Linked DNA regions of Nothobranchius furzeri. The protein of the gene in region 2 binds, or shares a complex with, the protein of the main gene of each other region. Links are inferred from orthologs where the notes say so. Each region holds a gene or a part of one and is shown on either strand. Other genes may lie near its edges.

Region 1 (10,700 bases), on a different chromosome or scaffold from region 2:
CATATACACTTGCGTTCCTCCGGCTGTGCACTCACATGCACACACATGCATGCACACTAATTCACAGTGGGATAAAGCCATTTCCTGTCCCCCTCCTCCTTCAGGAGTATGAATGGCTCAGCTCTGAAACAAAACTCTTCATTAGAACCAGACACATCAGTTTGTTGCTTATTCAGGGGGGAAACGAAGAGCTGGAGTGGAAAATGATGCCTCTCTGGGAGCAAAAGGGGTATTTAAGCTGGTTCATTTATTTTTCCAACGTGAGCGGTGAGGCTTGCCAGTGTAATAAATCCAAAAAAGGTGTTGAAATTAAAATGAGGTCAAATAATAGAATCAGCAAAGCTGTTTCCTAGGAAACACTGAAAAGGTCTCAAAAAGGCTTACATTAAAACAGTTTTACAGACAACACCAACACATTAAACGCTGTTATATCCGACTCTGCGTTTTATTCAAGTAAACAGAGTTTTGGCTTCAATGTTTTCTGTCTCTGAAAATGGGAATCGGAAACATAGTTTACCTTGGAATGGGGAGAAATGACTGCTATTATAGGAGGTAAACAAACACGACTAAACTGCATTCCACAAAAGGAGGTCATCCCAGTGGTCCTCCTGTGAGTTGGACTTGTTAAAGGGTGCGGTGAGCCCACTTGGTTCCCTTTTGGATTTTGTAAAGCTTTATGTGAAAAACCTGGGTTTTTTATGGATGGTTCGTTTAAATTGGACAGACAGATAAGTGCAGTGGTCCAGTCCGGTTTTTATCACTTGAGGCAGCTTGCAAAGGTTAAGTGCTATTTGCCGGTCACTGTCTTTGAACATGTTATTCATCTCTTTTGGGCCATTCTCATCTGTACCGGGTCGGCCCGGGCCGGGTAGCGTAGGTTGTTTACATATCTGGGTGGCCTGGTATTTTTCCGGGCCAACCAAGGCTCATTCCCAGCCCTCTTCTCGAGGGGGTCTGCTTCAGGCCGACCAGGGCCAACACACCTACTGCTGACAGCAAATTCACACCTTCCATTAGAGCAAGCCTCTGATTGGTGGGTAGAATCAGCCCACATGGGCTTAAGACAGGATGTGTGGAATCAACCGGGCCAGGCTGGGGCCGACTGGGGCTACCCGGCCCAGGCCGACCCTGTACAGATGGGAATGGCCCATTTGTCTCCTGTCGACTAGATTACTGCAATTCCCTGTATTATGGATTAGGGCATTCCTCCTTAAACCGCTTGCAACTGGTTCAAAATGCGGCAGCCCGCCTTTTAACAGGTACAAGGAAGCATGACCATATCTCTCCAGTGCTTGCTTCCCTTCACTGGCTCCCAGTGCATTACAGGATTCAGTTTAAATTGTTGCTTTTTGTTCATAAATCACTTAATGGTCTGGCCCCTCCTTATATAGATGATTTATTGTCAACCTACACTTCTGCCAGGAATTAGCGGTCGGGCTCACAGTTTTTATTGTCAGTTCCAAAGACTCGCCTAAACGCGAGAGGAGATATGTCACAGTGTGCCGGTGAGTGAGACGGTGGTGAGGATCCAAGTGCAGGGGAAGAAACAGGCCGGGAGGCAGACAGAAACATTTAAAACACTGATTTAATGGAGGACACGCAGGACAATGAAACAATGAGCCAACCAGACAAAATGGACTAACAGGGTTTAAATACAGGAGGAGCTGGGACCTTGGGTGATTGGGAGACGAGAGGCAGGTGGGACCAATTACCATGGACACAGGACTGAACACAATGGGGAGACAGGACAGGGTGTGACAAGATAGGGCAATTTCTGTGGCCGGCCCTACACTCTGGAACAGCCTTCTTCTGCAGATCAGGACCTCTCAAAATCTGGATGTATTTAAGTCCTTGCTTAAAACTCATTTCTTCAACCTGGCTTTTATGTAGGATGATTTAATTTTTGTCCTTGTCATTCTTTCTCATTTTTATTGATTTTATAATTGTGTGATGTAATGTTGTTTTTATCCTAACTTGCTAATTTGAATGATTTTTTGGTTTTTAGTTTCCTTTCTTGCTATATTATCTTGTGTGTTGTACAGCACTTTGGGTTGCAAAAGCAATAATAAGTGTGCTTTAGAAATAAACGTGACCTTGACCTTCGCTTTTCTGAACTAAACTAGCATTCTGTAACAGGAAATGACAAAGTGCAGAGAAAAGTCTTGGTTACCTCACTGTGGGCAAAACCTTCACTTATGATGTCCGAAGTGTCTGAAGTACCATCATCACGATTAGCTAGTGCATATCTCCGTCTCTTACTTACCGCTGTAGAACATGTAGCCGTGGTGTTGAAACGTTTAATGTATCAGAGTCAGAGTGTTTACATTTGAATAATGAAACCATTTCTGATAGAGACGACTCTTCCGGTAACAAGTGTGTACATTGCAGTAAATAGAAGGTACGACATTTTATAAATGGATGGATGGATTGATGGATGGATGGATGGATGGATGGATGGATGTGTAGTGTGATTAATTGTCCATTTGTGACCTAAAAGGCCCTGCTCTGTTTTGCTCTGCTCAAAGCAAAACTACAAGTTTTTGACACAAACCTAATCTGCATGAGATATTTCTCAAGGTCTCATGCTCTGCTTCTAAGCTGTTTCTTATTTTCCAGCTCAAGAGAAGAAGACGAACACTTCCTTTTTAATAAATCAGAACTCTTTCTCTATTTTTAATAAGCTAATCAAACAAAGTGTTAGTCCAAAAATAAAATGTGAACCAATCTGTGAAGTGACAATGTTTATGATCAGTAGTTATAATAAGTAATATAACTTTAAATATTTCCACTAGAGACTGATCACATGTAGTGCTAAGATCACGTGACACATTTCCTTTTTCTGATCCAATCAGAGCCTTCCAGATCTGATGCATGGCGTGGTTTTATTGGTGCTTTGTAAATCTGTCCTTTTTTGATTCGACTGTAAATCAAAACCTCCAAATTATAAAACTATGCCCACATCATCTTAACTTCAGTTCAAGCATTCTAGAGAAGTTGTCGGAGTGGCCAATCCATAACTTTCCTCTTCAGCCGAAAGAACCTAACGACAAGCTGGAATAAATCTGTTGCATGTTCCCCCTGCTGCAACGGTTCCTTTCAGAATAAAAGCTGAACCATCACGACCCCCTTTTTGGGTCTCGCTAGATGCCAATAAACCTGTTGTGACCTGGAAGTATCTCAAGACTGGTCTGGCCGACAACCGCTGCATTTCCTACCGGCTTTGGTTCCAGAGAAGGTCAAGCTGGACCTCGACATTCCTGATCTAACGGGGACTTCCACTAAGGGTACGTAGGCCGGCAGAATGGCATCTCAATGTGTGTTATAAATCTCCAAACCAAAGCTTGGCGCGAAACATCCTCTTCAGTCCCATCAGAACTAATCGTTTCTCCGGATTTGCTGGTTCTGAACAACATTCCACACTACACCGTCCATCTTGCCTCATTCACCCCTAGATCCATTCATCACACAGAGTGTTTAGTGTTTAAAGTTAGTCTAGTTTGTTTAGTAATAAATCTTTAAACTTTTAAAACTTGACTCTCTTTCTTTTGTCTCTGAGTTAATACAAAGTGGTTACATAATCCCTGCAATAAAAAGTTCCAATTTTCTGGTTTAAATTATCCAAAGATCCATAAGATTGATTTCATATTTCTTATTATGGAATCTCATATTTTATGGTTCATTAAATAATATGTAAATTTAATCGTTACAGATGGATGGATGGATGAATTGATGAATACATGGGTGGATGGATGAATACATGGGTTGATGGATGGATGGGTGGATGGATGAATGGTTGAATGCATGGATGGATGGATGAGCGGATGGATGGATGAATGCATGGGTGGATGGATGGATGAATAGATGAAAGCATGGGCGGATGGATGGATGGATGAATGGATGAAAGCATGGGTGGATGGATGGATGAATGGATGAATGGATGAATGGGTGGATGGATGGATGAATGGATGAATGAATGAATGCATGGATGGATGGATGGATGGATGGATGGATGGATGGATGGATGAATGGATGGATGAATGAATGCATGGATGGATGGATGGATGGATGAATGGGTGAATGGATGGATGGATGGATGGATGGATGAATAGATGAAAGCATGGGCGGATGGATGGATGGATGAATGGATGAAAGCATGGGTGGATGGATGGATGGATGAATGGATGAATGGATGAATGAATGCATGGGTGGATGGATGGATGAATGGATGAATGAATGAATGCATGGATGGATGGATGGATGAATGGATGGATGAATGAAAGATGGATGGATGGATGGATGGATGGATGGATGAATGGGTGAATGGATGGATGGGTGGATGGATGAATGGTTGAATGCATGGATGGATGGATGAGCGGATGGATGGATGAATGCATGGGTGGATGGATGGATGAATAGATGAAAGCATGGGCGGATGGATGGATGGATGAATGGATGAAAACATGGGTGGATGGATGGATGGATGAATGGTTGAATGCATGGATGGATGGATGAGCGGATGGATGGATGAATGCATGGGTGGATGGATGGATGAATAGATGAAAGCATGGGCGGATGGATGGATGGATGGATGGATGAATGGATGAAAGCATGGGTGGATGGATGGATGGATGGATGAATGGATGAATGAATGCATGGGTGGATGGATGGATGAATGAATGAATGAATGCATGGATGGATGGATGAATGGATGGATGAATGAATGCATGGATGGATGGATGATGGATGGATGAATGGGTGAATGGATGGATGGATGGATGGATGGATGGATGGATGGATGGATGGATGGATGGATGGATGGATGGATGAATGGATGGATGAATGAATGCATGGATGGATGGATGGATGAATGGGTGAATGAATGGATGGATGGATGGATGGATGGATGGATGGATGGGTTATGGTCAGAAGAAGCATACCTTGGCTCTGTGGTGTGTGGAGGGGGAGGGGGCGCTGCTGTTCAGGCTGATAGCTGGTGAGAGGGACCTGGCCTGCCTGTAGCTGCTCTGCTGATGTTGGGTGATCTGCTGCTCCTCAGAAAACTGTAAATCTCTGACTTTGGCCACAAAACTGCAGTCTGGAGCGGTGCTGCTGGGGGAGTCGGAGAACACAGATTCATCGTCCGACACCTGCAGCTTTTCCAGCTCCTTATTGATCTTCTGCAGATCAGTAACAGCTGAGCCCGCTGGCTCTCTCACCACCTGTCCAAACTCAGTGCACAGGTTCAGGATGGACTCTAGACGCTGGCATTCCTGCACAAAGGAGATTCACCATGTTTTTTATAAAATTATGAAACCATATGAGAATGAACAGAGAGCTGCTCACCAGTCGCTGAACTTTCTGCTCCCTGAGTCTCTCATCTCTTTGATGCTGGTGGTAGTCTCTCAGCTCCTCTTTGCCATTCAGAGAACTGATGCTACCCACTCTCTGTCCTGGACTCAATCCACCCTTCCCAAAGGACATTCTTCTCTCCCCTAAGCCCAGGTCTAGGCCCGTCCCATCTATCTCCACACCCAGAGAGCTCAGAGAAGCTAAACTGGACCTCCTTGATGTGCTGGGCATACTGGCTGGTACTGTGACATCTGGAGGCTGCTCCAGGGAGGAAAGACTGCGTCTCTGACCCACCGACACCGCTCCTCTGTGAGAACCCACTGAGTGACGGGATGGCAGCGAGAGAGCCGGGGGCTCTGCTGCGTTGTGAAGTCGAGGCAAAGAGCGGCTGTGCATCCCCAGATTGTTGAGGGAGCCGGTGGAATATTTCCTCTGTCTGGAGTCTCCTCCAGCTCTGCCCTGAGAGTAGAGCCTACGGCCCATTCGAGGGCTGGATGGCATACTTGCTGCTCCGCTCTTGACCCTTGGAGAACGAGGCCCTGTTTCTCCGTAGGAGGAGAGCAGGGAGCTCCCATCTGCTGCATTAGAGAGCAGCAAACTGTCCTGTGACTGGTGGCGAGAATAGGAGTGACGAAGCAAACCATTAGAGCCAATCTGGCGTTCTCCCTGACGCGGTGATGGAGGCACACTACTGCTGCTGATGTAAGAAAAGTTTCTGGAGACAGACGGAGGCTTCTCTGTGCTGCTGAGGACCGACAGCGGCCTGGTGGACTGGCCCAGGTACTTGCGGCTGCACTCCGCTGCCCTCAGGCTGGCTTCCAGTGCACTCTTCCTGCGCTGCAGCGTCTCCATCAGCTCTTGAAGTTCCGCTTTAGAGCGAGAGCCCCTCAGCAGTGTCCCCCCCACTGACCTACCGCTGCTGTGCTCAATCTTCACACAGTCTGCAGAAAACAGAAAGTTGACAGAGCATGAAGTTCTGTTCCTCTTTTGACTTAATCAAAGGCCTCTAACCCACATAAAGGGAAACCGGCCTAAATGATATGCAACCACTTTTACGCTGAGTAAGAGGGGAAAACCAGTGGGGAATGTACGCTCACACAAGTCTGAGGCCAACACAAACAGAGGCTCAGTCATCGGTTAAGTCTCTTCTAAAAATGGAAGAATGCTGGTGAACCAAGACAAGGCAGAATACACCATCGTCTCAGCTGACAGAAAAATCCTGAGGATGACTGATTAACTAGCTGAGTGGTGAAAGTGTCAAAACGAGTGTGGCAAGACCCCAGATTTATAACACATGTAATTACACATATCCCTTAATGTCCAAATATAACTCGTGAGTCTTACCCGAGCCGAAGCCCAGAGCGGAGACAGAGCTCCTCTGAGGAAGCATGCTGTTCATTAGTGACCTCCTCTTCTTCAGGGGAGCAGAGCGAAGGGTGGAGGATTCCTGCCTGACAAAGGAGACAAGATCAATAAGAAACGCTCAGCCTGCCGACCAGCGACACACTGACATAGATTCATGTTGTATCTGTGTTTGAGCTCCGATAGGGAGAGCGGGCATTTCCTGGTGAGCTCAGATCAAAGTTGAATAAAAAGTGTCACTCTAACCAACAGCTGTTGCTACATCAGAGCTAACTGATTAAAAATTAAAACATTTAAAAGCTCCTTCATCATGCTGTCTACAGCCTCGCCCACCCCTAAAGTGTTGCTGCTTCAGAAAACTAAACAGGGAAGTCTCAAGTAAGTCAAATCACAAAACTACAAAGTACACGATTACATCATGGACTGAGGCATCGCATCAGAAACGATCAAACGAACAGGAAACAAGCCCGGCGGACATTCGCCCAACACAAGGGGGCCCACCAGCTCTCTCTGGCAGTTCCTTCTTCAGGCTAACCTGGTAAAAAGATAAACGTTGGTCTCGCAAATAGGAGCAAACGCTGACAAAGACCCAAAACACATGGATGACTGCAATATAACCTAAAGCCCACCCCATTCAAGATGGTGGTCAAGGCTAATAGAAAACATTCAAATGGATATAATTGTTTGTTTTTACAGATATTTACCGATGTGGTCTCAGTCACACACAACACCAAGCACTAGGGGGTCTGCTTTGTTGTGGAAGTCTATGCTTAATCGTTTCTCTGCATAGATATAAGCACCATAGCAGATATAAAAGGTGAAGAACAAATATTGTATAGCTCCATTAATAAAAGTCAAATGTTTATTTCTCAGTCAGGAAGTCCCAGTGGATATTCCAGATGTTCCCATTCCCAGAGACAAAGTGTTTAAACAGATCCTGAGCTTTAGGGTCTGGCTACAGTTCCCAGTGAAGTCTGAAAGGCAGCACGTTGCACATTAATGATGTTTTAACTCTACACAGCCAAAGGCTCTAAGGCAAGGGTGTCAAACTCATTTTAGCTCAGGGGCCACATTGAGGGAAATCTAGTCCCAAGTGGGCCGGACCGGTAAATTAAAAAAAACTTCAGATAGTTTTCTTTGTTTTAATACAATCAATATAAAACAAGGCTGGAGCCTGAGGACAGTGTATCCAAAATAGTACAAGTACAACACCTGAAGTGTACTTGAAAATTTGAAAAAAAAAAAAAAAAATTAAAAAAACATTCCTTAGTGATTCAAAGAGCTTACAGATCACATGGCAAGATCAGTTTCATGCAGCACTTAAAGTATATTTGACTCATTTTACTTTACATTGTTTAGCTTTCACCAGCACATCAATATCAGGAGTCACATTCTGAGTGACAGCCAACTTCAGGATGTGATTCAAGTTCTTGTGTGAGCCTTGAGCGCAGCTTTGTTTTATTTATACTCATTACAGAGAAAACTTGCTCACAACGATAAGTTTATTTTCACTCTACATTGTAAAGTATGAAAATAAAGTTTACACAACCATCCCGCGGGCCGGATTTAACCCGCTTGTGGGCCGGATCCGGCCCGCGGGCCGCATATTTGACACCCTTGCTCTAAGTGAAGAACTGTGTGGTTCTTGGACCAAAAATGAATAAATCAACCCACAAATCCCTGGTCTAGTTCAGGATGGTGTTGAAAGTCAGACATAACTTTTTTCTGAATCCCCAGAGAAAGGCTGATCTGAGAGGCTCTGGTCCTGCTGTCTGGAGAGAGAGAGAGAGAGAGAGAGAGAGAGAGAGAGAGAGAGAGAGAGAGAGAGAGAGAGAGAGAGAGAGAGAGAGAGAGAGAGAGAGAGAGAGAGAGAGAGAGAGAGAGAGAGAGAGAGAGAGAGAGAGAGAGCCAACAGGAAGCAGGGTATCCACTTACACACTCATGCATCCAGTCAGCATGAGTTCATTCTCCAGACCTCCAAGAAAGAAGGAGGGGAGAGAGGAGAAGGACCCCCCCCCCACCCCACCCCCCCACCCCACCCCCACCCCCGAGCATCAAGTAAAAGGCTGGAGGTGTTGCTGCATCAGCTACGCTGCAGCTCTGCAGGCTCATCAGAAACACACTAGGAGATGTAAACAGTTTGTGGAATGATGGCTGATAAGACATCTTTCATCTGAGGAAAAGTATTCCCAGATTGTGTAAGAAAGCCCCAACCCTAACGGCCTCGCTTGCTTCGCTCGTTCAGACAAGCGTTAGTTAATTTTCCGTGGAAAGAAAAGGACAACTTGTGGAAAACTTTACGAGCATGAAAAAGCAATTATTTAAAAATCTGAACGTACAAAAGTCAAACCACAAAAACTGGTGCAGGAAAACAGTCTGACAGTCAACCCAACAGACATTTTATTATTTCATGTTTTTAGGAAAACATTTTGACATCTAAACAGAGCAAAGCCTGAACAAACACAGGATGTAATCAGATTACAAAAATCATTCATGATTTGTTTGTTTTTGAGCACTAACATCTGTATTTCATATGTTACATGAATGAGCTGGTTTTCTTAACGTTGTAAAGTTTTGGTGCATTAAAGAAACATTTGAATTGTTTTAAATCTGAGTTCAGATGTCATCGATTAAAGTTGAACAGAAAACTTTTCCAGCTTAGTGCAGATGTGTTTGTGTCATCTCATGCTGATTATGTAATTCTGCAAGCCTGCATCAAATATGCTCCTGAGTAAACAACTTGTAGATAAAAGAAGAGAGACTGACCTCAGTTACATGTCTAAAGATTCTCTGATGAGCGCGAGTTGGAGTTGGAGCTGAACTCCTCCGTCTGTCTGAAACAGCAGAGGAAAGTCTTCCCATGACAAAGGAGCAGACAGGAGACCCTCTCCCCTCCCACCTTCAAACCTCTGAGACGTTCCCTCTCCAGGAGAGAGAGAGAGAGAGAGAGAGAGAGAGAGAGAGAGAGAGAGAGAGAGAGAGAGAGAGAGAGAGAGAGAGAGAGAGAGAGAGAGGGGCATTTGCGTGAGGCTCTGCTGCTGCCCCGCTCTGGTTGGGCAGAGAACTGCTCATAAAGTGGAACAAAAGCCTCTATTATCATAATAAGTTTAGATCTGAAAGTAAAATCAATATTTAATCTCCTACTGAGACTCTTGGTTCCTGTAAGCAGCTGGCTCTGACCTTTGACCTCACTGTGGTCGATATGTGAATGTTAGATCATGTTTCAGCACAGAAACTCACACTAACTCCCTACATCATCCCTTCTCCCGTTTGATCCATTCAGTTACCCCAAAATCTGACTTTATTTGGGTTTTTACCTCCACACAGGGAGCCTCCTACAGCTGTGTGTTTCTGAGAAGACAGTAAGAGTGTGTTCTTTAAATTGAAATAAAACATCTTGAAATTGTTGTTTGAGCAGTGTGGAGACGGGGTGGGCGGGTGGGGGGGGGGGGGGGGGTGTCTGCGTTTGCGTTTGACACAGGGCCAGCATCAAACCCCCGACAACTAAAAACCCCTAAAGCCAGCGTCGATCTCTCTCAGTTGCTGACTTTAACATAACAACCAAACAGAATTAATGAAAAGTAACTTGTAGGAACATTTCCCCCTAAATCCAGTCAAAATGAAACCATTTTGCAAAAGAAGAAAAAAAAAAAGAACTGTGCAGTTACTTCATAGGGAGGGGGCTGTGGACGAGATGATTATTTACAGATTTGGAGCTGGGGTCTATGTCATGAAAGCACACACACACACACACACACACACACACACACACACACACACACACACACACACACACACACACACACACACACACACACACACACACACACACACACACACACACACACACACACAGTCATACGTTTTTTCATGTGAGGAGTGGAACAGTTTTTAATTTATTGACAAAACAAAAGTTTTATTGTCTGGAATGTCTAAAAAAGTATTTGAGTTACCACACACATCTCCTGAAAGCCACTGTGTGTGTGTGT
Region 2 (10,708 bases):
CATTGATGTAGGAGGAAAATGATAAAATAATTTAAAGGTGTGATTGACTCATTCAATTATTACATTTGCAGTGGTCTCTAGTTACTAGACGAGACGAGAACAACTTCAGCCTGATTCTTGCTTCTCCGTCTGCGTCAGTGCGGAGACAAGCAACGTCCTTGCGGGCCTGCTGGAGAGCTCCGCGAGGACGGACGGAGTCGAGCTCTCTTTTCTAAACATCCGTCAGTCGAGAGGGAGAACGCAAGCTTGTGATTGGTCAGGGCACCGCTGTCGTCTACAGCGCCCTCAAAAACACAAAGAGAGCCGAGGATAACTAGCGGCAGACACGGAGCAGCTTGAAGAATACCTCATGAAAAAAACTCTAAAAACATGAACGTTTAATTCCCCCGTGACTGGAGGAGTGAAAAGATGCGCAGCAAGCGTTTTATTTGTGGACGGAAATGACAGGAAACGTGGGTTTAGAGGTGGGGAGCGCATGAAGAGGTGGAGGAGGATGAGAGACAAATTTGTTTGTGTTAAAAAGTCTTATATACAAAAAAAAACAATATAAACACACTATCTTGGACCGATACATGACAGGATACCACAGAACAGCGCTGCGCCCTCTGTTGTCCTGGTGGGGAATTGCTTTGCAACACTCTCCAGGAGACGGAGAAGTATGAGAGCAAAACGCTTCCGTCAATCCGTGCGTGTCTGTCCCTTGCGGAGCAGACGGAGAAGCATGAATCAAGCTTAACAAGGCGTTCATTCCTACTAGAGTCTAGTAGGAATGAACGCCTTGTAAGTCGTTCTCGTGAAGCCTAATTTATACGTCTCAGGCAGCTCTGCGAAAGAGAGACGCAAATGCACTGACAGACGTTTGCTCTCGGACCTCTCCGTCAGCTCGGGACTGTTGCTAAACAATTCCCCGCCAGGACAACAGAGGGCGTGGCGGCATTCTGAATTATCCTGCCACTGTTAAAGTCACCTATCCGGTCTAGGAAAGTGTATCTAATATTGTGTTTACATTACTACATTACATTTCAGAGACTTTTGAACACAAATTTGTCCCCATCCACCTCTTCATGCCATCGGCACCTCTAAACTCAAGTTTCTCTTCTTTTCCGTCCACAAATAAAATGCTTGCTGCATGTCTTTGTACTCCTTCAGTAACGGGTGAATAAACGTTCATATTTTCAGACTTTTTCTGCAATGTGTTCTTTAATCTGTTCTTTTTAGTTTTCGAGGGGGCAAAGGTGGTGCTGTCGACTAATTTACTGGAAGTAGCGTCCTGACCAGTCACAAGCTTGCGGTCTCCCTCATCTTGGATGGATTGTTACAAATTTCGGCATGTTTTCGTCACCCTCTGTGAGCCTGTCGGGGAGCTCTTATGCCAATGCATAATGGCGTTGCGTGTTCGCACCGACGCGGAAGTATAAATCAGGTTTAAGTCATACTGCTGCATACTGCTGCTCAGATCTAAAAGTTTCCCATATCACAGCTGAGCTTCAGGCCCTGTCCACACGTAGCCGGGGATCTGCCAAAACGTAGATATTTTTCTACGTTTTGGCCTGTCATCCACACAAAAACAGAGTTTTTTCACACGAAAACGGATCTTTTTAAAAACTCCGGCCAAAGTGAAGATCTGCGTTTTCTCCGTTTTGGGTGTCTGCGTGTGGACAGACAAAACCGGAGTTTTAAGGTCCGCAACGTCACTTTCCGCGACAAAAAATGCTGACATCACGTGTGTACCTGTGTTTACACTAGCCGACAGCATGGATGCCCTCAGAGCTGCGCTCGCTTTATCAATTGTCCAAGCGCTTTTTGCTTGTTTGTTTTTGCAAGCGGAATTACTGCTCCTTGCGGAAGACCACAGACGATGCTGACTGGATACAATTCGGGGGAAGTACTGCCGCCTACAGGTCTGGCATGTCCTTAACAACGTATTTATCCGGGTACGTGTGGACAGAGTTTTTTTTTAAACGAGGTGGTGTGGATGCAAGTTTTTGGAGGGGCGGATATTCGTTTAAAAAAAAAACGGCTACGTGTGGACTAGGCCTCAGACAGCAGGTTTTTAGTGAATGTGACTACCACTGACTTGAAACGTGGATGTTTTACCTACACAAGTAGCGCAAGCCTGGAGGAGCTTCTACTGTGTGGTGGTGTTGCTAATGCTAATAGTTAGCTTAAACTTAGAGACGCCCGCTGCTGATTCCTGGACGTTAAAATAACAACAGCCTTCCCTGTCATTAGTCAAGATGGGTGAGTCCACGAACGCTAAATCACAGTGTGACGTAGATCTGCGACGATGTTCGAATCCTAGGGTTTCACTGCCTATTTTCTATCAGAAGCTAATGCAGGAGATAGGTGTAGGAGACTATTTATAGGTTCAGCTTGTGTGAAAAACTCAGAGTGATTGATTATAATCAGAAAAAGAATGCTTTTTCAGTCAACTACACCTTTAATAAAAAACAGCTAATGTTTGGATGTAATGTTTTTCTTTAATTTGTCAAGAAATAATCCCTCTGGATGTAAATTAGGTTGAGAATATTACTCAGGTCTACTGTACTACTATCATTTTTGTTTACATAACAAAAATCTGAGGACTAATTATAGTGAAAGAGTTTTAAGAGCCGAAGTTTGGGCTGAATTTTTCTGGTGAGAATTCAGCAGAACTCCCTTTAGGACGATGCTACAATCGGCTCTGCAGCCTCTCCAACTCTGCTGTTGCTCTCAGCCTGCACGGCTGTCACTTCCCTCCCTTTTTTAGTAAAATCTGACACACACGGGCTCTCTGTAGTGGAAACATGTTCTAGTAAAGCTGCAGCAATATTTACTAGATGACCAGACTTGTGTGCTGTTCTCCCATCCATAATTTAAAGGTGGAAACCTGAACCTGTCTTTATGAATATAAAACCCTGCTGAGTAAAACCAGCAGTAATTAATATAACAAAGACCTGCAAACCAAAGGACAAAGGAGAGGCTGCTGCTTCATCAGGGCTGAAAATAGCAGAAACTGAAAAACGACCATCACGAACTCATTAGCGTAAAGGACTGAATATATGGTGATCGTATGCAAAGTCGAGGTAAAAAAAGCACTGTATGTTCTACAGTTACCTATTAATATATAATGGATGCTGCTTCACTGCATGGAGGGGGTTTCCACCATCATCTCATTTTGTAAGTTCTCTTTGTTCACATGTGTCTCTATTGGGCCATTCCCATCTGTACCGGGTCGGCCCGGACCAGGTAGCGTAGGTTGTTTACATATCTGGGTGGCCTGGTAATTTTCCAGGCCAACCAAGGCTCATTCTCAGCCCTCTTCTCGAGGGGGTCTGCTTCAGGCCGACCAGGGCCAACACACCCACTGCTGACAGCAAATTCACACCTTCCATTAGAGCAAGCCTCTGATCGGTGGGTAGAATCAGCCCACATGGGCTTAAGACAAGGATGTGTGGAATCAACCGGGCCAGGCTGGGGCCGACTGGGGCTACCCGGCCCGGGCCGACCCGGTACAGGTGGGAATGGCCCATAAATTGCTACCTTTCCAGGTGTTCACCTGTCCTCAAAGTAGTAGCTACATCCAGTCAGTCTTCAGGTTGTCAGACAGGTCTGCAGACTAATCTGGTCATGCTGATGTAAAACCAGATGTTCTTCTCACAAGTGCTGCTGTGGGCCCCGCCCCCCAGCCGAAGCACTCACAAGCAGCCCAGTCCTCACATCGCTACCAGAGCAGGAGGCGTTTATCTCTCTGAGCTCAGATTGCAAACAATTTGCGTGTGTGTGTGCGTGCGTGCGTGCGTGCGTGTGTGAAACCCAAACATTGGAAAGCTAAAAAAAAAAAAAAAAAAAAAAAAAGAACAATAAAAAACAAAGAAGGGCAAAGTGACTCAGTGACCTTTGTCAGTCCCGTTCCAGGTAACCACGCCTAAAGGTGTGGCTGGTGAAAAATAAGCAAAAATGTATTTAAAACAGATGTTTATTCTAATAAAGATGGGTGATCTGCGGGACAGGGATATATTTTGATCCAAGTTTCAAATGAGTTTAAGGAGGAATGTCCAGATGAATATGGGAAACACTTGAAGGTAAGTGTTGCTATGGCTGCAGCGCTGCCTCAGTTATAGTTGTTTATAATGTTCAAATGAAAATCCACATCTATGTTTCACCGGCTTCCAGCTGCTTTAAGAGTTCAAACCAGTTTCCAGGATTTCCCTGATTTAAAAACAATTACCATAATTATTTATGTTTATGCTCTTAAACAACCAGGTTGCACGAATGGGTTAGCAGCAACTAAGAGCAGTGGTGATTACACAAAGTGAAATAATGAACCGATTTGAAAATTCTTATGTTTCATGACCCAAACCCAACACCAATAAGGTTTGACAAGAGAAAACAGGAGTTTAACCTTTAAATGAATGACTATTAATGATGCAGGTATGCTATTTCTGCATAAGGACTGACCTGAGGTAAGGCAGTGTTCAGCTGCCGCTGCAGCGAGTCTCTTTCATGGCTAACTTCATGCAGTTTGCTCTGGGTCAGGCCCAGATTCTCCTGAGTCTCTCTCAGCGTGTCCAGAAGGCGATCCCGCTCCTCTAACATGGAAACCATCAACGACTCAAAGTGCCCTTCAGAGTCTGACTGCAGAGGAGAGCCGGAGCCTCGGCGCCCAGTACCGTTCCCCCCACCAGGCCCTTCGGCCTCGCTGATTGTGGGCATCACCTCGCACATCATCTGCAGCCAGAGGTAGAGAGAAATGACAGAATTAAAGTTTGAAGATGAAAATCTGGAAGTCAAGTCAGGTGATTGGCTGCTTCTTTGGTTTTTGTATCTTTGAACAACTTAAGTGTCAGATGTTCATTTAAAAACGTGACCCTGTGGGTTTGAGGGGCCTTCCGTCAGAGGTCGCGGCTCCAAAGCCGTTGCTGCAGTTCAGAGACAGGTTTTCTCCATCTGTGAGGTTTGCCCTAATATATTAGATTAGATTATGAAAGTAAATTATGGCTGGAAAAAAATGGGAAAAGATTTTAAAAAAATAGTCATTGACTGTAAATTAGCTCACGTCCAAACAGCCGGTACAGGTCAGAGGACAAACTGCTCAGGCTGATAAAAGTTCTGGTTTAAAACCAACTGTTTTTACAAACCTGTCTGAACACATCCGAGATAAAGCATCACACAAGTTCAAAGGTCCAAATCTTTTAATCAGCAAACTTTAAAGACTGAGCAGAAAGGGTCTCAGCAGGTTGTTTCCTAAGCAGGTGGCTAAAGAAAATATCCAGTAGGCTGTTGGGATGGAGGGAAGCTTATGAGCCAACTTTAGGTTAACCCAAACAGGTGACCAATCAGAAACCTGGAGGTTTTGTGATTATTTCTACGCTGCAGCTACCAACCTCTACCAGCCTGAACACCAAGGGGCTTACAGTCTGTAGACCAAAGCCAGACACACTGCCCAGGAATCATGTGAGCTGGATTTAACACACCTACACGGAACAACAACCTAGGAATGGGGACAAGTCCTGTAGGAACTCTTGGAGAGCTAATATTTCCAGCAGTTGACTCTTCCAGCCGCCGAAAGGCTTCTTCATCTAGGATGCATCCAGCTGGGTGAACCCAGAGCTCAGCAGCACTCTGTTTGTTACATGCTAATTAACAAGACAAAACTCAATCTGCCATTCCTAATTAGCTCTTATCAGAAACAGCTAGTTTCATGTGATAAACACGGTTTCTGAGTTAAACTTAACCTAATTTACTGGAAGCAAAAATGCAGAACCAGTGTTGTCATATTGAGGTCAAGCCACTCAGAATCAGCTGTATGGGGGAGGGTCGTTCAGCATCAATGAGAGGTAGTGACAGATGGTGAGCAATTCAGGAGAGACACAAAAAAACTAGGGATAACAAATCGAAACCTGGATCAAAGACTCGGAGGAACAATTATCCTTAAATCCCTTTAACCAGTTATCAGTGTTCTTCATCCAGACCCGTAGGCCCAAACACCTCCGACTCTGACTCACAATCCCAAACACGGCTTCAAGGCTAAATAAACAGAAATGGTTTGCCTCGTATTTGTTTAGGCTTTTACATCAGCGATAGTAAACAGAAGTTATTCTTTAGTTTGAGTTCTGAAGATCATCTCGACCCCCGGGTGTAATACCTAGAACCTGTAGTAGCATCCCGACCCAAACTTTTGGAATCACTGACCTAGCCAACTGTTGACATCTAAGGTAAAGTTGAAAACTCTTAATTCAGGCCTCTTCCCTAGATTTCCCTCCCAGCAGTCAAACTCAAGTGCAGCCATTTTCCAAATCAACCTTTCTCAAACTGGCTGCTTTTTAACTTAATCCCAGTCCTCGTGGTGTACCATTTTAAGAACTTTTTGTTTATTTGAAACACAGGAAATTATATTCTAACAAGGTGATTACGGAAGAGCTCTCAGTCTGTGGAAAAATGGGAAAGTGTGCGATGAATGAAGTAGTTTCAGGTCTCTCATGGATCCTCCAGGTGGACATCTACCATAGGTCAGGATTTAGGGATAACAAAGTAAATGAATCAACACAACTCTGCTTCATCATTTGAGTTAAGAAGTATTTCATTAACTGCATAATTTATAGACTAAAGTGGTTTAATAAACTATGTGATGCCATTTCTTTGAGAATAGTCAGGAAGAAGTAAACAAACATGTTAAAGACCAACTTTAAAGGCCTGGAGAGGGGGGTGGGATTCTGAACAGTACTGGAGTTATTCATCATTACATCAAGATAAACCAAACTTGGATCATTCTGACCCAAACAAAGATGTAAAGTTCTGTCGAATTTACTAAAATAAAGTGACTGACAGCACAAAGTAACATAAACCATACTGTTGGACTCACCTTTGCAGTTTAGCGTTAATCCAAACTCTTTAAAATCCACGTTTTGTAAATGAAGTTAAACAAATCCAACAGCCTTCAGAGACTTCTGAAACATCCAGTCATTTAAAACATGTAAATCCCGTTCAGACACCAAGATTAAGGCTGAAATGGGGTCTTCTGGGAAGAAAAAACAGGATGATTTCCTTAAGGCCTCAAACCCACAAAGTGAGCAGGGGGTAGTATTCCCAAGTTTGGCCGGCTAACTTGGCGTTAGCATGCTAGCTGATAAGAGAGCTGGTGATTCGAAGATCGCATACCTGAATTTGGAAGTCAAGTGTTTATCTTTGCGTCACAAGACAAACGGCCACCGTAAAATATGAAGCAAAACTCGATAAAAGTAGCATTTCTTAACTGGCCCACGGGTGCTGATGGAGTCAGCTGACGTGGAAACTGTTGCAGCCTAGCTAGTTAATTTGAAACAGAAATCTTTGGCTTGAAGTCAGCTTAAAGTCGGCAGCTACTAGCCTGCTAGGTAGCTAACGCTCGCCAATTTAATTTAGTAACTTTTGAGCTAAATCTCATATAAAAGTACATAACATTATAGAATGTGCGACACAAAACGCACTATTTGATTTCTAAAACAATAAATCCCGAAGTAGATCTCCTGAGATCTAAGAAACCGATGTAGTGTTTGTCTCCCGGCTAGCGTTAGCTTCCCGGTGGAGTCTCGTCACCACATCCCGGCTGCGTTCCGTTCGACTCGGAAACTTCCAGCCAACACCGAGCTGTCTGCGACGTTCCTGGTCCGTTTGGGAAATCCAAACTTAAACATTCGTGGTTTATGTCCAAGTTTCAGAGGTTTCTTCGGTGTTTTCCACTTTAGCGGTCCGCGAGTCGTGTCCTTTGCCGTCGCCACTGCCTGCCAGCCTGGGCAGTCGGGACAGCCTGACGGTCTGCGGGAGGAGAGCGCTGCTTCCCGGCTGGCTGGAGGAAAAGGAACAGCAGCAGCAGCATTCCCAGTTCCTGTGGGGATCCGAGGCTCAGGTTAATAATCCTAACAAACATGCAAACTTTTTTTTTTTTTTGTAAATGTGGAGGATTTACACTTTGGTCCTAATGAACAAAGATGACAAAACTGTTTAGATAAACTAGAAGCGTTTATTATGTCGCTGCAAAAGTGAATTAATTTAAAAAAGTTAAAATAAGGCTTTGAAAAAAAAGATTTCTACAATCTAGGTATGGTTTATTTCAGCCCTAAACTCAACCCACTTCAAAACATTAAGTTTATATTAAATACGTTGATGTTAAAAACACACACAACATTTGTCTTACCAAAAGTAAAAATGTAATATTGGTAAAGTTTAAGAATTTTGCAGCTCAGCTTCTGTAATTGTGAAATTCTTCAAGACCAAGTTTATCGAGAAACCATTATTTACTTTTTTATATATGTATATAAATGATCGGTCTTTCTGAAACATGCAAGCTAAACATTAAAATATTCCATCCATCCATAGTCTGAACCCGCTTTGTCCATGTAGGGTCGCGGGGGGGCTGCTATCTCCAGCGGTCAATGGGCAATCAAGCGGGGTACACCCTGGACAGAGAGCCAGTCCATCGCAGGGCAACATGAAAATATTCTTCTGTCCCAATTTCCTGCTTTAGTCGCTGACAGAGAATAGACAGGCAAAGGCTCGGATCAGAAAAGACAGTCAGTTCTATGTCACATTGAAGATTACCTTTCAAGGATCACCCATCTTTAGGGATGGGTACCTTTGACATTTGAATCGATCCGGTACTAATTCCCGGTACCTACGAGTCGATACCGGTACTTAACGGTACCAATTTTCGATACTTTTGAGTGTTTATTATTTTAATTCTCTTTTATAATTAAATATATATTTTTCTCAATATATATATATATAACCATATTTGATAAATATCACGATAAATAACATACAAGTTTGTATTTTAACATCGTCCTTGTAGTTTTATAAGCTGATAATTAAACTGAAGCAAACATCTTTACTGTGAACTAAATTTACTGTGTATCTTCATTCCTTTTGCCGTCCTTTTTCATTTGATTTTTCCTACTGGGAAGTAAGAATTTCCGAGGAGAAAGCGAACGCACCATTAGCTGGTAACAACGGTGGCAATGGAAGCTAACATATCAAGCTAACGTTATCTTTAACAGTTTATTTAGCTGATGGAGCAGATTAAAACGATGATGCCTCAAACTTAGATCGTTGTCGCTGGTTTTACCTTCATCCATTCACCCGTCGCATTTAGTAAAGTAAAGCCAAACTTTAGAGCGCGTTCATGTTCTTCTAGTCGGAAATTCGGAGTTCCGAGGAGAAAGCGAACGCACCATTAGCGAAACGGAAGCTAACAAATCAAGGTAACGTTATCTTAAACATTTTATTTACCTACTGGAGCAGATTAAGATGAGGATGTCTCACTTAGATCGTTGTCTGTCGCTAGTTTCATCACCCAGTTACCCATCACATTTAGTGAAGTGGACCCAAGCTTTAGCGTGCGTTCTTTCTACCATGCTTGCTCTGTTTACAACGGGCTCGCAGGGACCGGCAACATAACGCTCTTGCGCATGCGCAACTGTCTTGGCAGTACCGAAACGAGGCACCGTTTGAAATGACGTGAATCGGTGTTCGGTCGGTACTATGGAATTCGGTCGGTACCTTAAAAAGTACCGAATTCGGTACTCATCCCTACCCATCTTGACTTGTGACTGGGAAGTTTGTTGTTCATTTAGCATCCAGGAGAGAGCAGAGCATGTCTCGGCTAATAGAAGCTAATCGTTAGCATTAGCAACTCCACAATATGGCAGAACTCCTTCCGGTTTGAGTTATTTGTGGAGATTAAACATAAATGTAGTCTGTAGTGGAGTTGAATTGCTGTTAACTAATCAGAGATTAGATGTCCAAATATCAGGAAATGACACTTCATTTCCTGCTGTCTTCTTCTCACCTCTGGTAAGCCTGATATAACTGAAGACGAAACAGAGATGGTGGCAGAAGAGTTAGATGCCTGAGTCTGTCGTACGCTGGCATCACCAGTCCCTCTGGCCACCACCAACAGGCAAGGTGGGTTAAGTGCAGAGGTGTGGACTCGAGTCACGTGACTTGGACTCAAGTCAGACTTGAGTCATTATTTTAATGACTTCTGACTTGACTTGATAAAATTATAAAGACTTACGACTTGACTCGGACTTGAACGCCAATGACTTGTGACTTGAATCGACTTGCATCTGTTGACCTGATGATGACTTGAGCATATTTGATATTTTAGCACAAAAGTGGCACGGCATGGACAAAAATCATAAATCATTCTTTGTTCTGGGTTTGATTTATTGCTAAATGCAGCAGCACTTTGCTTACAATCAACTTCAGCTGCACTTTCTACTTGTTTGAGGAAATAAATTAAGCTTTAAGAAGTTTTACTTTAAGAATTTATTTATTATCATTGTCATTAAATTGAAGTTTGACAGATAACTTATGACTTCACCTGGACTTCCACATTATTGACTTTGGACTTGACTCGAGACTTGACTGGAAAAACTTGTGACTTACTTGTGACTTGCAAAGCAGAGACTTGGTCACACCTCTGGTTAAGTATCTTGCCCAAGGGCACATCGGCAGCGTGCTCTGCCGGGAGCCGGGATCAATTCTACAATGTTTACTGGACAACCCACTCTACCCTCTGAACTTCTGCTGCCCAACATATCAATTCATTTGGTAAATGTATTTGATATAGCACCTTCTAGATTTCTGGAACCCCCCAAGGCACTTTACAACGCAATCATTAACACACACATTCACACCCTGGTGGTGATGAGCTACATTGTAGCCACAGCTGCCCTGGGGCTCACAG

The links.
Region 1: ppfia1 (region 2) and phldb2a share a complex: the UniProt entries of both Homo sapiens proteins name them as parts of the cortical microtubule stabilization complex. The link is inferred for Nothobranchius furzeri from reciprocal best matches to the Homo sapiens genes PPFIA1 and PHLDB2.

The regions. Positions count from the first base shown.
Region 1 is NC_091750.1:45,865,907-45,876,606, reverse strand, and holds the start of phldb2a (pleckstrin homology-like domain family B member 2), read right to left. Parts: upstream 9,619-10,700; 5' UTR 9,574-9,618; coding exon 9,478-9,573; intron 6,801-9,477; exon of another isoform or gene 6,797-6,800; coding exon 6,694-6,796; intron 6,291-6,693; coding exon 5,344-6,290; intron 5,271-5,343; coding exon 4,938-5,270; intron 1-4,937. UniProt on the Homo sapiens protein: Seems to be involved in the assembly of the postsynaptic apparatus. May play a role in acetyl-choline receptor (AChR) aggregation in the postsynaptic membrane.
Region 2 is NC_091749.1:65,285,451-65,296,158, forward strand, and holds the start of ppfia1 (liprin-alpha-1), read right to left. Parts: upstream 6,986-10,708; 5' UTR 6,845-6,985; intron 4,711-6,844; coding exon 4,441-4,710; intron 1-4,440. UniProt on the Homo sapiens protein: May regulate the disassembly of focal adhesions. May localize receptor-like tyrosine phosphatases type 2A at specific sites on the plasma membrane, possibly regulating their interaction with the extracellular environment and their association with substrates.